Yarrowia lipolytica: one gene and its partner. The protein of the gene in region 2 interacts with the protein of the main gene of each other region in a biochemical or structural test. Links are inferred from orthologs where the notes say so. Each region holds a gene or a part of one and is shown on either strand. Other genes may lie near its edges.

Region 1 (5,010 bases), on a different chromosome or scaffold from region 2:
GGCTACCAAGGACGCTGGTCTTATTGCCGGTCTCAACGTCCAGCGAATCATCAACGAGCCTACCGCAGCTGCCATTGCCTACGGTCTGGACAAGAAGGAGGCTGGTGAGCGAAACGTTCTCATCTTCGATCTTGGTGGAGGAACTTTCGATGTCTCCCTCCTCTCTATCGAGGATGGTATTTTCGAGGTCAAGGCCACCGCTGGTGACACCCATCTTGGTGGTGAGGATTTTGATAACCGACTCGTCAACCACTTCGTCCAGGAGTTCAAGCGTAAGCACAAGAAGGATATCTCCACCAACCAGCGAGCTCTCCGACGATTGCGAACCGCTTGTGAGCGAGCCAAGCGAACCCTGTCTTCTTCCGCCCAGACCTCCATCGAGATCGACTCTCTCTACGAGGGTATTGACTTCTACACCTCCATCACCCGAGCCCGATTCGAGGAGCTCTGTCAGGATCTCTTCCGAGGTACTCTCGAGCCCGTCGAGAAGGTCCTCCGAGACTCCAAGATCGACAAGTCCGCCGTCAACGAGATCGTTCTTGTCGGTGGTTCCACTCGAATCCCCAAGGTCCAGAAGCTTGTCTCTGACTTCTTCAACGGTAAGGAGCCCAACCGATCCATCAACCCCGATGAGGCTGTTGCCTACGGTGCTGCCGTCCAGGCCGCTATCCTCTCCGGAGATACTTCTTCCTCCACTCAGGATCTTCTCCTTCTCGATGTTGCTCCTCTCTCTCTTGGTATTGAGACTGCCGGTGGTGTTATGACCAAGCTCATCCCCCGAAACTCCACCATCCCCACCAAGAAGTCCGAGACCTTCTCCACTTACGCTGACAACCAGCCCGGTGTCCTGATTCAGGTCTTCGAGGGTGAGCGAGCCCAGACCAAGGATAACAACATCCTTGGTAAGTTCGAGCTGTCCGGCATTCCCCCTGCTCCCCGAGGTGTCCCCCAGATTGAGGTCACCTTCGACGTCGACGCCAACGGTATCCTCAACGTTTCCGCTGTTGAGAAGGGTACCGGTAAGACTCAGCAGATCACTATCACCAACGATAAAGGCCGACTTTCCAAGGAGGATATTGAGCGAATGGTCAACGATGCTGAGAAGTACAAGGAGCAAGATGAGGCCGAGGCTGCTCGAATCGCCGCCAAGAATGGTCTCGAGTCCTACGCCTACTCTCTCAAGAACACCCTCTCCGAAGAGAAGTTCAAGGAGAAGGTTGACGAGGCTGACCGAGAGAAGCTCGAGAAGGCCATCAACGAGACCATTGAGTTCCTTGACTCTACCCAGTCTGGTGCTACTGAGGAGTACTCCGACAAGCAGAAGGAGCTTGAGGGTGTTGCCAACCCTATCCTCATGAAGTTCTACGGAGCCGAGGGTGGTGCTCCCGGCGGAATGCCTGGTGCCGGTGGCCCCGGTGGCTTCCCCGGTGCTGGTGCTGGAGGTGCTCCTCCTCCCGGCGCTGGCGGCGAGGGCCCCACTGTCGAGGAGGTCGACTAAGTATTTTAGTACCTTGTATTTATAGAAAATTGATTATTAGACAGACATTTGAACAGTATGTGCACTTTGTTGTAACAACATTCAGTACCAGGTGACAAGACGACCAGGGAACCCCTTTTTTACCCCAATTACTTGGAACACCAACTTTATACAGCAAAAAAAACACCTTTTCTTCCACTTCCTTCACAATTGCTCTGTAAATATACATTAAATATATGGTGTTTTGACAGTACTGTAACTATCTGTGTACTACAAGTAGCAGTGGCATGTTCCCCATATGCAGAGAGCCCCGAGGAATAGGCTACACGCATATCATGTCCCATGTCCTAAAGAGACAAGTGGAGGCCCAAGTGGAGGCCCATAGAGAGCTTGCGCTTCGCTGTTGGGGCACCATGTCAGACTGTGGGTAGTTGCTTCAGTTGCTTGGCATCTGATCACTGGCTAATTCTGAACAGCAACCTCCATGACCTCGACCTTGCACTTGCCCTTGACCTCAGCCAAAACAAACTCGTTCACGGGTCGGAACTGACCAGGATCAATGGAGCAGACCAGCTCGTCGTGGGTCTCCTCCTCGACTGTGGCTCCCATATCGGTCTTGAGCTTCTCTCCTAGCCCCAGCTTCTTGACATCGCCAGTCACTCGAATTCGCATACGAGCTCGAGCAATGGGAATGATCTGCTTCTCCACCAGCAGCTTGATGGCATCCATGGCCTGGATCTTGGCGGATTTCTTGGGCACAATGTTGAACTTGAGCTCTCCAATCAGAGCCTTCTCAATCATGGTTGCAGTATAAGGTCGCTTGGTCTTGGAGTTGACACATTTTTGCGACACAAGCTGGATGATCTCCGTTTGCAGCTGGTTGCTCTGCTGCTGTCGCTCCTTCTCTCCAAGCTGGAGTTCTCCGGTATTGAGAATCTCCAGAATGATCTTGTCCTGGTCAGTATGTCCAAAGGCGGCCTTCATGTCGTCTCGAGGCGCAGTTTGTCCCTTACCGACATTGACAAAGACTTGAGGGATCTGAAGAACCTCATCAAGGTCGGTTTCCACTCCCTTACGCCAGTCCTGGACCTTGTTTTGGTAACAAGCGATCTCGAATCGCTTTCGGCCCTTCTTGAGTCGCACAAGAGCCACGTTGGTCAGTTTGATCTGTCCGGATGGTTGCTGAATTCCGGCCATTGTGTATTGTGTGTGTTAACGAAAAAGTGTTAGTAAAAGCTTGGTGTTCGTCGGTAATTCCAGGCGGTTCGACCTTATATATATCGAAGCAGAATTTAATTGTTAATCGACAGGACTGCATGTAAGCTGCATAAACCCAGAATATTGACTATCGAGCAAAGATGAATCAAATGGGCGTCAGAGATTGAGTGTCAGTGCTTGTGTCGATATATATGTATACAATATTCTTAGATTGATTTCATACCAATTTCTTTGGCTCAGGTTCTTTCTCATACTAGCCGGTTCTACTCCACAAGTACTGGCACACTGTTTCTGTCCCAGCTTGCCTTTATCAGAGAACACGCTTCGACTGACCGATCGAGAGTCATGCAATGATATTAAATTTTATTCTAGTTCAGTTGTCCTCTGGTGCAATGATCACAAGTGTGGGCTATGGGCGCGGTAGCACCTGTGTTCCTAGGGGGGTGCTGTAGGTGCAGTAGGTGCTGTCGATCACAACTGATGAACGTGCTTACACTGTGTGTACCGGGTCGACTGTCATTTTATCAAGTACAGGACAGTACTTGTAGTTGTACCATAGTCAACCGCAGAAATAACAGCTCAGACTCGTCGTAAAGAGTCTGGTGATAGTCCCACTGCAGGCACACGAATCGACGGGTGTCACAAGGCTCTTTTTCAACCACTCCCACACCTCCACACAATCCAACACCCATAATCAATTACCAAACACGGCAAAGCTTGACTCCCTCAAGAACGTCGTCGTAGTCGTCCTGACTGACTCGGCCGATGGACACAAACACAGTTCGCACCTCTGTGGGCGAGTCCTTGACTACCTGGGACGCCACCTGGACAGCTATGATCTGACCCAATGTGTCAGCATTGGAGCCTCCAATTAGCGACATGGGAGTGAGATGAGTGAGTGGCAGATTGCTGATGTCTTCGCCTTCGTCGTCATATTCGGTATGTGCAAAGAACTGATTGCCTGGAGATAGTCTTAGGGGAACATAGTATGATCTAGTGTATGCTCCTTTGCTGTGGATATTGACGAAGATCTTGTCGTTGAATGCATAGGTGACAATGTCTAGATCTTTGATAGTCGTGTGTTTTGAAGGGATCATTGTATGAATGTTTCTTTTCTGTCAGATTGTGAATGTTACCTACTTGTAGCAAGATGTGTTCGTTGATAATGGACCAGAACTCTATTCACGAACTACAATTACGAGTAATGGCGCGAGGCATCTACCTGCTGTACTACTGTGAAGTAGTTTTGAAGGACCGAAGACCTACAGTTATGTTATTATAATAATAAAAAATAGAGACTATGGAGTAACAGACTATTCATAGTATTGTGCGAATGAGAAACTTCTTCTAACTCTGATCTATGTAATATTTCGAAATATAATCAACCAATCTGCCGAAATAGCCACGGTCAGTCTACAGTAAAATATACGGCATACTCACTCTTGAAGTGCTGCTTAATCAATACCACAAACACCACTATAGACATGTCACCCTGCTCTCCACCCATCACCCACTCCTTCTATGCCTCTGAGTCGGCCTCAGTTCATATCGACTATCGACACAACGCACTCATTTTTTTCATGCAGTAAGCAGGAATGAGGTGTTCTACAGTGGACACAGCAAACAAACTAAATAGCTCCGGAGAAATGATATTCTGACAATTGAAAAACATGACTCAAAAATATTGACGTGTCAAAACAACTACAATGTCTCATTTTTTTCAACGACTCTTATCGCCACCGAAATAATGACCACGAGGTGGGCTCAACGAAACCTTATTTGGCTAACATGGGAACCAAATCGTGTCTTTATTTTGCGTGTTCATGTGCATGAGGTTTGTGAAAGTCTAAGAACCTCAGCACCAACAAACAGCAATGACCTCAAGGTGAGTACCTATTGCGATGAAGGCTCTCTTCCGTGCACAGCAACTAACTCAGACATCAACTCTTTGCCTCCTCGGCACAATACGGATCACCAGCCTCCAGCCAGGCTTCTTCTCGAATCAACACCCCTCAACCTCCACAGCCGTACGCCGGGTCGTCTTCGTCCTTTGGAGAGGCCAAGCCCTACGTTCCCGAGCAGGAGGAGTACGATCCTAAAAGCCACAAGCAGTACTCGACGTCGATGCTGTCGCAGTTGGAGTCCCAGAACGACGAGCAAATGGAGGGTCTGTCTGCTAAGGTGCAGCTGCTGAAGGACGTGACCAGCAAGATCGGAGTGGAGATCCGGGACTCCAGCCACCTGCTCAACAACCTGGAGGACACTTTTGAAAATGCATCCACGAAACTCAAGGGCACCTTCAAGCGAATGATGAT
Region 2 (7,973 bases):
GTGGATGATACAATGTCTGTGGCCAACACCATGGCGTTGCTCAAAGCCAAGAAGGCTGGTAAGGACAAGAAGGACAAGAAGGACAAGAAGGACAAGAAGGAAAAGTCCAAATCCAAGCCGGTGTACTCCGATCTCGACTCCGCGCTCATGCGAAAGGATGAGGAGGAAATGAACTACTACGCCAAGAAGCTCGGATTCAAGGACGCCAAGAGTGCCAATTTCGGCTCCGACGACGAGCTCGACGGCATTCTGGACGGTCTGGATGTTGATTTCGGGTTCGACAGTGAAGAAGAGTCCGATCATGTGCCAGAATTGGTTGACGACAAGAAGCAGAAGAAGAAAAAGGAGAAAAAGGCAGCCAAGACGGTGAACAACGATCTTCCCTGGTCCGAAGATGAGGTTGACTCGGATGACTTTGATACAGATTCTGAAGACGATTCGAAGCCCAAGGTCAAAGAGAACCCCTATGTTGCTCCTGTGGCTGCCAACGCCGATTCCAGTCAAGCGGCGGCCAAATACGTGCCCCCTTCTCTGCGAAAGAAACTGGCGCTGGAAGTTGATCCCGAAACCAAGGAGATGGTTCTGATTCGTCGAAAAATCAAGGGCTCGCTCAATAAGCTGTCGGAAAGCAACATTGGCAGCATCATCAACGAGATTCTGCGTGTGTTTGACGATAATCCTCGTCTGCTGGTGACCACTGTTGTCACCGAATGTCTACTTGAAAGCACTGCCTCTGAAGCGGTGCTTTTGGAGACTTTTCTTCTGCTGCACGCAGTCATCGCCACCATTCTGTACCGGCAGGTGGGAATCTCGTTTGGTGCCTACTTTGTGCAGTCTCTGGTTGAAAAGTTCTTCACCAACTACTCTGCCGGCACCCATAAGGCCTGCTCTAACCTGTTGGCGTTCCTCACCGAAATCTACTACTTCCAGATGGTTTCGTGTCGGCTTGTCTACGATCTGATTCGAAAGTTTCTGGCCGACCCAAACGAGCGAAACACCGAGTATCTGCTGAAGATTGTGCGGTTTGCGGGCTCCCAGCTGCGTTCCGACGACCCCAGCGCCCTCAAGACCATCATCAACGACCTCCAGGCCTCTCTGGCCAAGACTGAGACCAATGCTCGAACCAAGTTCCTTGTGGAGTCTGTGGCGGCGCTGAAAAACAACCGACAGTCGCAGCACGGCATTTCCCAGGGCTACACCGAGACCAAGATGCGGCTCAAGAAGTTCATTGGCACCTTCAGCTCTTACACTGTCAACGAGCCCATCTCCGTGTCTCTCGAAGATATCGAGAACGTGGAGACTCGGGGCAAATGGTGGTTAGTGGGTGCTGCATTCAAGAACCAGGACCAGAACGAGTCCCAGACACACCGGGGCGACGACGACCTCGATCTGACCACCGTTCATGACGTTCTCGACGCCGCAGAGCCCAATTGGCTCGATCTGGCCCGAGAACAACGTATGAACACGGACATTCGACGGGCTGTTTTTGTGGCCATCATGGGCGCCGAGGACTACCTCAATGCTCTTGAGAGGGTGTCCAAGCTGCGTCTTAAGCGTGTTCAGGAGCGTGAAATCCCCCGGGTGCTCATTCACTGTTGTTCGAACGAGTCCGTGTACAACCCGTTCTACGCTCTTTTGGCCGTCAAGCTGGCGGAGCGGCATTCGCTCAAAATGACCTTCCAGTTCACCCTGTGGGACTTTTTCCGCGAGCTGGACGGCGACGACGACGACGATTCCGACGACGACTCTGACCGAGAAGAGTCTGTCAAGGTGCTCGAGGGCTCGGACAGCAAGGAGCTGCTACGAAAGACCATGAATCTGGCGCGAATGTTTGCCCAGATGACCGCCGAGGGCACCGTGGGCCTCAACATTTTCAAAAACGTCAACTTTCTGACCGCCTCGGAAAACATGAAGATTTTCCTGGAAATGTACTTTGTGGCACTGTTTGGCATGCTGGGCAAACGAGCGGAGGAGGGCAATGGCAAGTCACGGGACCAGAAACAGCTCGTCAAGCTGCTACTCAAGCTCAAAGACAACGCCTTGTTACTGAGAGGTATCCAGTACTTTGTCTCGGAGATTGTGGTCCACAGCGACCTCATTGTCAAAAAGCGAGAGCGACAGAGAGTTTTGTGGGGCCGAGACGTGACCACCGACATTGTCGACGAGCTGACCAAGGCCACATAGACTATAGATGGGTATTAATTGATCGTATGATGTGAGAGCATGGAACTACATGTAGTACAGTAGACAGAAATAGGCGCGTATAGAGTGGCAGATGTTGGTTAGAGTACGAGAACGGTATTGTACGGTACTGTACGGAGCAGAATAGTATTGAACAGAACAGTGTACATACAAGTATTGTTCCTTGAACAAAACCCTTCACTATTTCATTGCTCGATACGTATAGTAGTTGGACTTACTTCAAGCTCCTCCATCTCACGATACCGAAAAGAAAAGCTGTGAAGAATCCGAAAAGACAGATGTATTTCCTGTTATCGCCGCTACAGTTGACACAAACTATTTGCAACATTATATTATATATATATTTCCCCAATGACCCCCAAATATCCGAGACTCCAAATTCTCTATTTTTTTAAATTTTTTTATAATAACAGAATATATTAAAAATTACTTTTATTTTTCAAAGTTGCTTCATTTCCAATACTTTGCTGTTAAAGAACCTATCTGACAGTCTACATCAACTCGATGGATATTGGTCATATCACCAAAAAAAGATATTCATTGTAATCAGGAGACTCTGATGAGTAATATTCTCACATATCATCTCCCCCTAATCCACGTGTCCGCATCCTGGACCTCCCCGTCGGTCCAGCCCAAACCCTGACGTCATCAGTGCTTATGCAGAAACTCTGATCTGAAGATACCGTTTTAACATATATATTTTTCTCCACTCCTCGACGCCACTTTTACTTAACAACATCACCACATCTACCATGACGTTATCGCCCCTACAACTTCGCAAGCTGCAATCGGACCCGTCGTCGATCCGAAACATCTGCATTCTGGCCCACGTGGACCACGGCAAGACCTCGCTCAGCGATTGCCTGCTTGCCTCCAACGGCATCATCTCTCAGAAGATGGCTGGAAAACTGCGGTATCTGGACTCGCGACCGGACGAGCAGGAGAGAGGCATCACCATGGAGTCATCTGCCATCTCGCTTCACTTCCGAACCTTCAGAAGAGATCCCAGCTCGACGGAAGAACCGCCCAAAATGGTGCCCAAGGACTTTCTCATCAACCTGGTGGACTCTCCAGGCCATATCGACTTTTCCAGCGAAGTGTCCACGGCGTCGCGATTGTGCGATGGAGCGGTGGTGCTGGTTGACGCCGTTGAGGGAGTCTGCAGTCAAACGGTGACGGTTCTGCGACAGGCGTGGATGGAGCAGCTCAAGCCCATTCTGGTGATCAACAAGATTGACCGACTGGTGGAGGAGCTACAATTGACTCCCGCCGAGGCCTTCACACACCTCAAGAAGCTCATTGAGGGTGTCAACGTTGTTCTGGGCGGATTCTACGCCTCCAACCGAATGGCTGCCGACCTCGAATGGCGGGAGAGCGGAAAGACTGGCACCTTCGAAGACGAAGACGACAGTGAACTCTACTTTTCGCCCGAAAAAAACAATGTCATTTTTGCATCAGCCATCGACGGCTGGGGATTCACCGTCGCCCAGTTTGTCGCCATCTACGCTGCCAAACTCGGAATGAAACGAGAAAACCTCCAAAAGTGTCTGTGGGGAGACTTTTACTTTGACCCCAAGACCAAGTCGGTCATAACCAGCAAGGGGCTCAAGGGCCGGAATCTGAAACCGCTCTTTGTGCAGCTAGTTCTGGACAACATCTGGGCCGTGTATCACTGCACGGTGATTGAGCGGGACGCCGACAAGAGCGCCAGGATCATCAAGGCCCTGGAGCTCAAGATTTCGCCCCGAGACCTCAACTCCAAGGACGCTCGGAACCTGCTGACCACCATCTTCCAGCAGTGGGTGCCTCTTTCTGTGTCCGTTCTACATTCCGTGGTTGACAAGTTGCCCGATCCAATTGTGGCCCAGGGCAAGCGAATGCCGGCAATTCTAAAATCTGTTGGTTATCCCGATCAAGAAGGCAATGGCGAAAACGAGGAAACCGTGTCTCAGGGCATGCTCACGTGCTCCACCAAGGCTCCACTGGTGGCCTACATCAGTAAGGTGGTTTCTATCCCGGAGGCTGATCTGCCCAAGAACCAAAAGGTGATGAAATCCATCGACCAGCTTCGAGAGCAATCTCGATTGGCACGAGAGAAAATTGAGAACGGACAGACTGACGAGTCATCGGCTGCCGCTGAAGCTGCTCCCAAAGATGAAGTTGACGATCTCACTGCAGCATACTCTTCTTATGACTACGAGGAGGACTTCGATATTGGCGAGTCCAACTACGTTCCTCCTCCTCCCGAAGTTCTCATTGGTTTCGTCCGAGTCTACTCCGGTGTCATTCGAACCGGGCAGAAGGCCACAGTTCTGGGACCCAAGTACAACCCTGCCGAGCCTTCTAAGCACGTGCTTGAGGTGGAGATCACCGATCTTTACCTTCTGATGGGCCGAGAGCTCGTGACCATCGACCATGCCCCTGCTGGAGGTATTGTGGGTATTGGAGGTCTTGATGGTGAGTTTCTGAAATCCGGCACTCTCGTCTCTGACCAGTTCCGAGGCCCCAATCTCGCGGCGGTGGAGGGATCCATGACCACACCCATTGTGCGAGTTGCATTGGAGCCCGAAGACCCCACCCAGATGTCGCATCTTGAGGAAGGTCTCAAGCTGCTCAACCAGTCCGATCCCTGTGTGCAGGTGCATCTTCAGGATACTGGTGAGCACGTGATTTCGTGTGCTGGAGAGCTACATCTTGAGCGATGTCTCAAGGATCTGACTGAGCGGTTTGCCGGCATTGAGATTCAGGCTTCCGAGCCTATTGTTCCCTATCGAGAGTCCATTGTGGCTCACCAGGTTGCTCCTGGAGGCGAACCCGCTCCAATGCGAGACGCTGAACTTGGACGAGGAGTTGTTACTCTGGAGCTCGAGGAGGAGGGCCATGTGGATCTCAAAATGCATGTGACCCCTCTTCCTCAGGCGGTGGTGACATTTTTGATTTTCAACCGAGTCTCAGTCGCGGCTCTGGCCGGTGTCAAGAGCGCCGAGGAGGAAACCGAGGATTCGTCAGTCAACCAGAACATTCTCAACAAGGAGGACTTTCAGACCAAACTGGCCGAGATTCTCGAAGAGGAGAAATGCACCTTTACCGTCGACCAGATTGTGGCTTTTGGACCCAAGCGTGTGGGTAGTAACATTCTGATCGATAATTCCGAATCTGGTCTTCTACGACGTTTCTTTGGAGCAACCTCCGACATTTCGTTCCACCAGGATTCCATCCTGACTGGATTCCAGCTGGCCACTCAGTCTGGACCTCTCTGTAACGAGCCTATGCAGGGGGTGGCAGTCTATCTTGATCTCATTGACGACCCCAACGATGAGCTGGCCGGCAAGCTCATATCTCCCTTTCAAAAGGCAATCTACACTGCCTTTTTAGACTGGTCGCCCCGTCTCATGTTGGCCACCTACTCGTGTGAGATCCAGGCGTCCACCGAGGTGCTGGGTAAGGTATACTCTGTGGTTACTCGGCGTAAGGGTAAGATTGTGAGTGAGGAGATGAAGGAGGGCACTCCATTTTTCACCATTTCTGCCACCATTCCCGTGGTTGAAGCATTTGGCTTTGCTGAGGAGATCCGAAAACGAACCTCTGGAGCAGCCCAGCCCCAGCTCATTTTCGCAGGCTACGAAACTTTCGATATGGATCCCTTCTGGGTGCCCACGACTGAGGAAGAGCTGGAGGAGCTGGGAGAGACGGCCGATCGAGAAAATGTCGCCCGACGGTACGTGGACAATGTGCGGGCTCGAAAGGGTCTCTACGTGGAAAAGAAGCTCGTTGATGGAGCCAATCGACAGCGAAACCTGAAGAAGTAATGTATAGATATGATAATGTATAGATATCGGGAAGTTTGAGAGGAGCGAACATTACTATGAGCATCTGGGTGGTATAATTGACAGCGCAGAAGACGTTTACAAGTGTTGTCTTAATCAAGTCAATACTTCCCCAGACTCCATCTCTACATTGCACCTGAACACAGTGACATCGATTCTAGCATGCGCTATGTACTGTAGAATATTGACTCGTATAGATACGATATTAGTCGTTAGTTCATTTTGCACATGAAACTGAATCGGTCATTTCTTCGATTTTCTCAATTTTCACTCGTTTTAAATATTTAAACTTTTTAGACATATTTAAGGTTGTTATCGTGCATATTTGTGACAAATTTTAATAATTAACATCCATATTTTTCCACCGACCGATTGCCCAAGTAGGATTTTTATTATTATTATTCGCAGTAGTTTCTCACCACCACAATATCACAGATTCCGCCTGCAGTTGGACTAAGAATTTTCGTCAGACATTACAAAAGAAGAAAAAATAAGGTTAAGCGAGTGAATGCTTAATTTAGCGACCCGAACGCTTTCTGAACTGCAACAACACTCATATCAACTCTGTATAGTACTTTACTAAAAAAATAACCCGTTTTTTATTTTTTTAAATCTCCAAAAAGATTGCAGCACCCAGGATTCTCGTATGGTCTCCCACTACAATACTAACTGGGCTCTCTGGTGCTTGACTATGGCTGATCGGACGGGAAGCCGTATTTTCACCAGGATATGGCCGCAACCGTGCTGTGTAAGAGATCAAATCGACTCATAAGGTGTGCTAAGATTAGTCATCGATCTCTTATTAGAGAAATAGTGAGACGTCCTTTAGGACGTCTGGAGGATGTCACGTGCCTCGCACGTGACCTTGAGGGGTTACCCGGATGCTAAGGATTACCCTGTGATGGGGACAGTATAAGTAGGATGTTACGTTGTATTTTAATGTATCAAGTTTATTGCCAACAACTTCCGGAGTACAGGTGGTACTCCATAGCAGACCAACGGTCCCCGCTGGTGTGAGCTGAACTACTGACTAAACCGGATCCGGGTTCTGACATGCTGGAGGATCTGCGATCGACCCATAAGGTGTTGTGTGCTTAGACACCAGGGGGCCGCGTGGGATCTTAGGATGAGGAGCCTCTCTACTGGTTGCAGTATACGTAGCAGATGACGTGTATTTTGATGAATCAAGTTATATGCGACGGGCTTCCGGAGTGTCAAGGGCTCGACATTTTGGTAGAGCCCGCTGATCTAAGCAAACTGCTGAGTAATTCCGATACTGGTTCTTTACATGTGCTCTGCTGGTGGCTGGAGTGTTTAGATCTGCCGGAAACTCGTACTACCTTTCGGCTTGACTCAGGGTCTCGTGTTGCGATTGACAACATGTTGGACAGCCAGACTTCATGTGCGCTTTTTTTTTAAGAGGAGAATCGAGATGGATCGGAGATTCAGGATGATCTATGTTGAAGGCTTGAACAATCAATTCAGTTGAACTGCTCTTCGAAATGCTGAAGAGGTTCTGTTCGCCTCTATGAAGTACACGGAAGAATATTGTCCGGATCTGTCTCAAAAATCGGTCAATCTGCCTATCAACAAATGTCAGCGGATGATGGACGGGCTGTTTGCGATCTCTGGAATAAATTATGATATAGAAAAGCATCCGGTTGTATATCCTGCGGTACAGTGAACAGAAGACACTGTGGAAGCTACTTGAGCTTGACGACACCCTTGGAGACACCCTGAACAGCATTGAAGATGAGCACTTCTTGGCCCTCCTGTAGATCGTCGCGGGTCAAGAAGCCCTCGAAAATCTTGTTCGAATCGATCAAGTGACGTCGAGTAACTCCCATCAGACACCCAGACGTCACCTTCGGAGTGGTCCACATTTCATTAACCTGAACCGCAATGTTGGTGATGGATCCCTCTGTCACGTGGCCATTGTCGTTC

The links.
Region 1: the proteins of YALI1_D20118g (region 2) and YALI1_F32565g form a complex in vitro, tested with the Saccharomyces cerevisiae proteins (3 studies listed by BioGRID). The link is inferred for Yarrowia lipolytica from reciprocal best matches to the Saccharomyces cerevisiae genes RIA1 and SDO1.

Annotation. Positions count from the first base shown.
Region 1 is NC_090775.1:3,254,246-3,259,255, reverse strand, and holds YALI1_F32565g (uncharacterized protein), read right to left. Parts: upstream 2,675-5,010; coding exon 1,940-2,674; downstream 1-1,939. Other genes in the region: YALI1_F32597g (uncharacterized protein), read left to right, coding at 1-1,498; YALI1_F32554g (uncharacterized protein), read right to left, coding at 3,394-3,792; YALI1_F32546g (uncharacterized protein), read left to right, coding at 4,570-4,580, 4,633-5,010. UniProt on the Saccharomyces cerevisiae protein: Involved in the biogenesis of the 60S ribosomal subunit and translational activation of ribosomes.
Region 2 is NC_090773.1:2,006,831-2,014,803, reverse strand, and holds YALI1_D20118g (uncharacterized protein), read left to right. Parts: upstream 1-2,954; coding exon 2,955-6,011; downstream 6,012-7,973. Other genes in the region: YALI1_D20164g (uncharacterized protein), read left to right, coding at 1-2,184; YALI1_D20061g (uncharacterized protein), read right to left, coding at 7,733-7,973. UniProt on the Saccharomyces cerevisiae protein: GTPase involved in the biogenesis of the 60S ribosomal subunit and translational activation of ribosomes.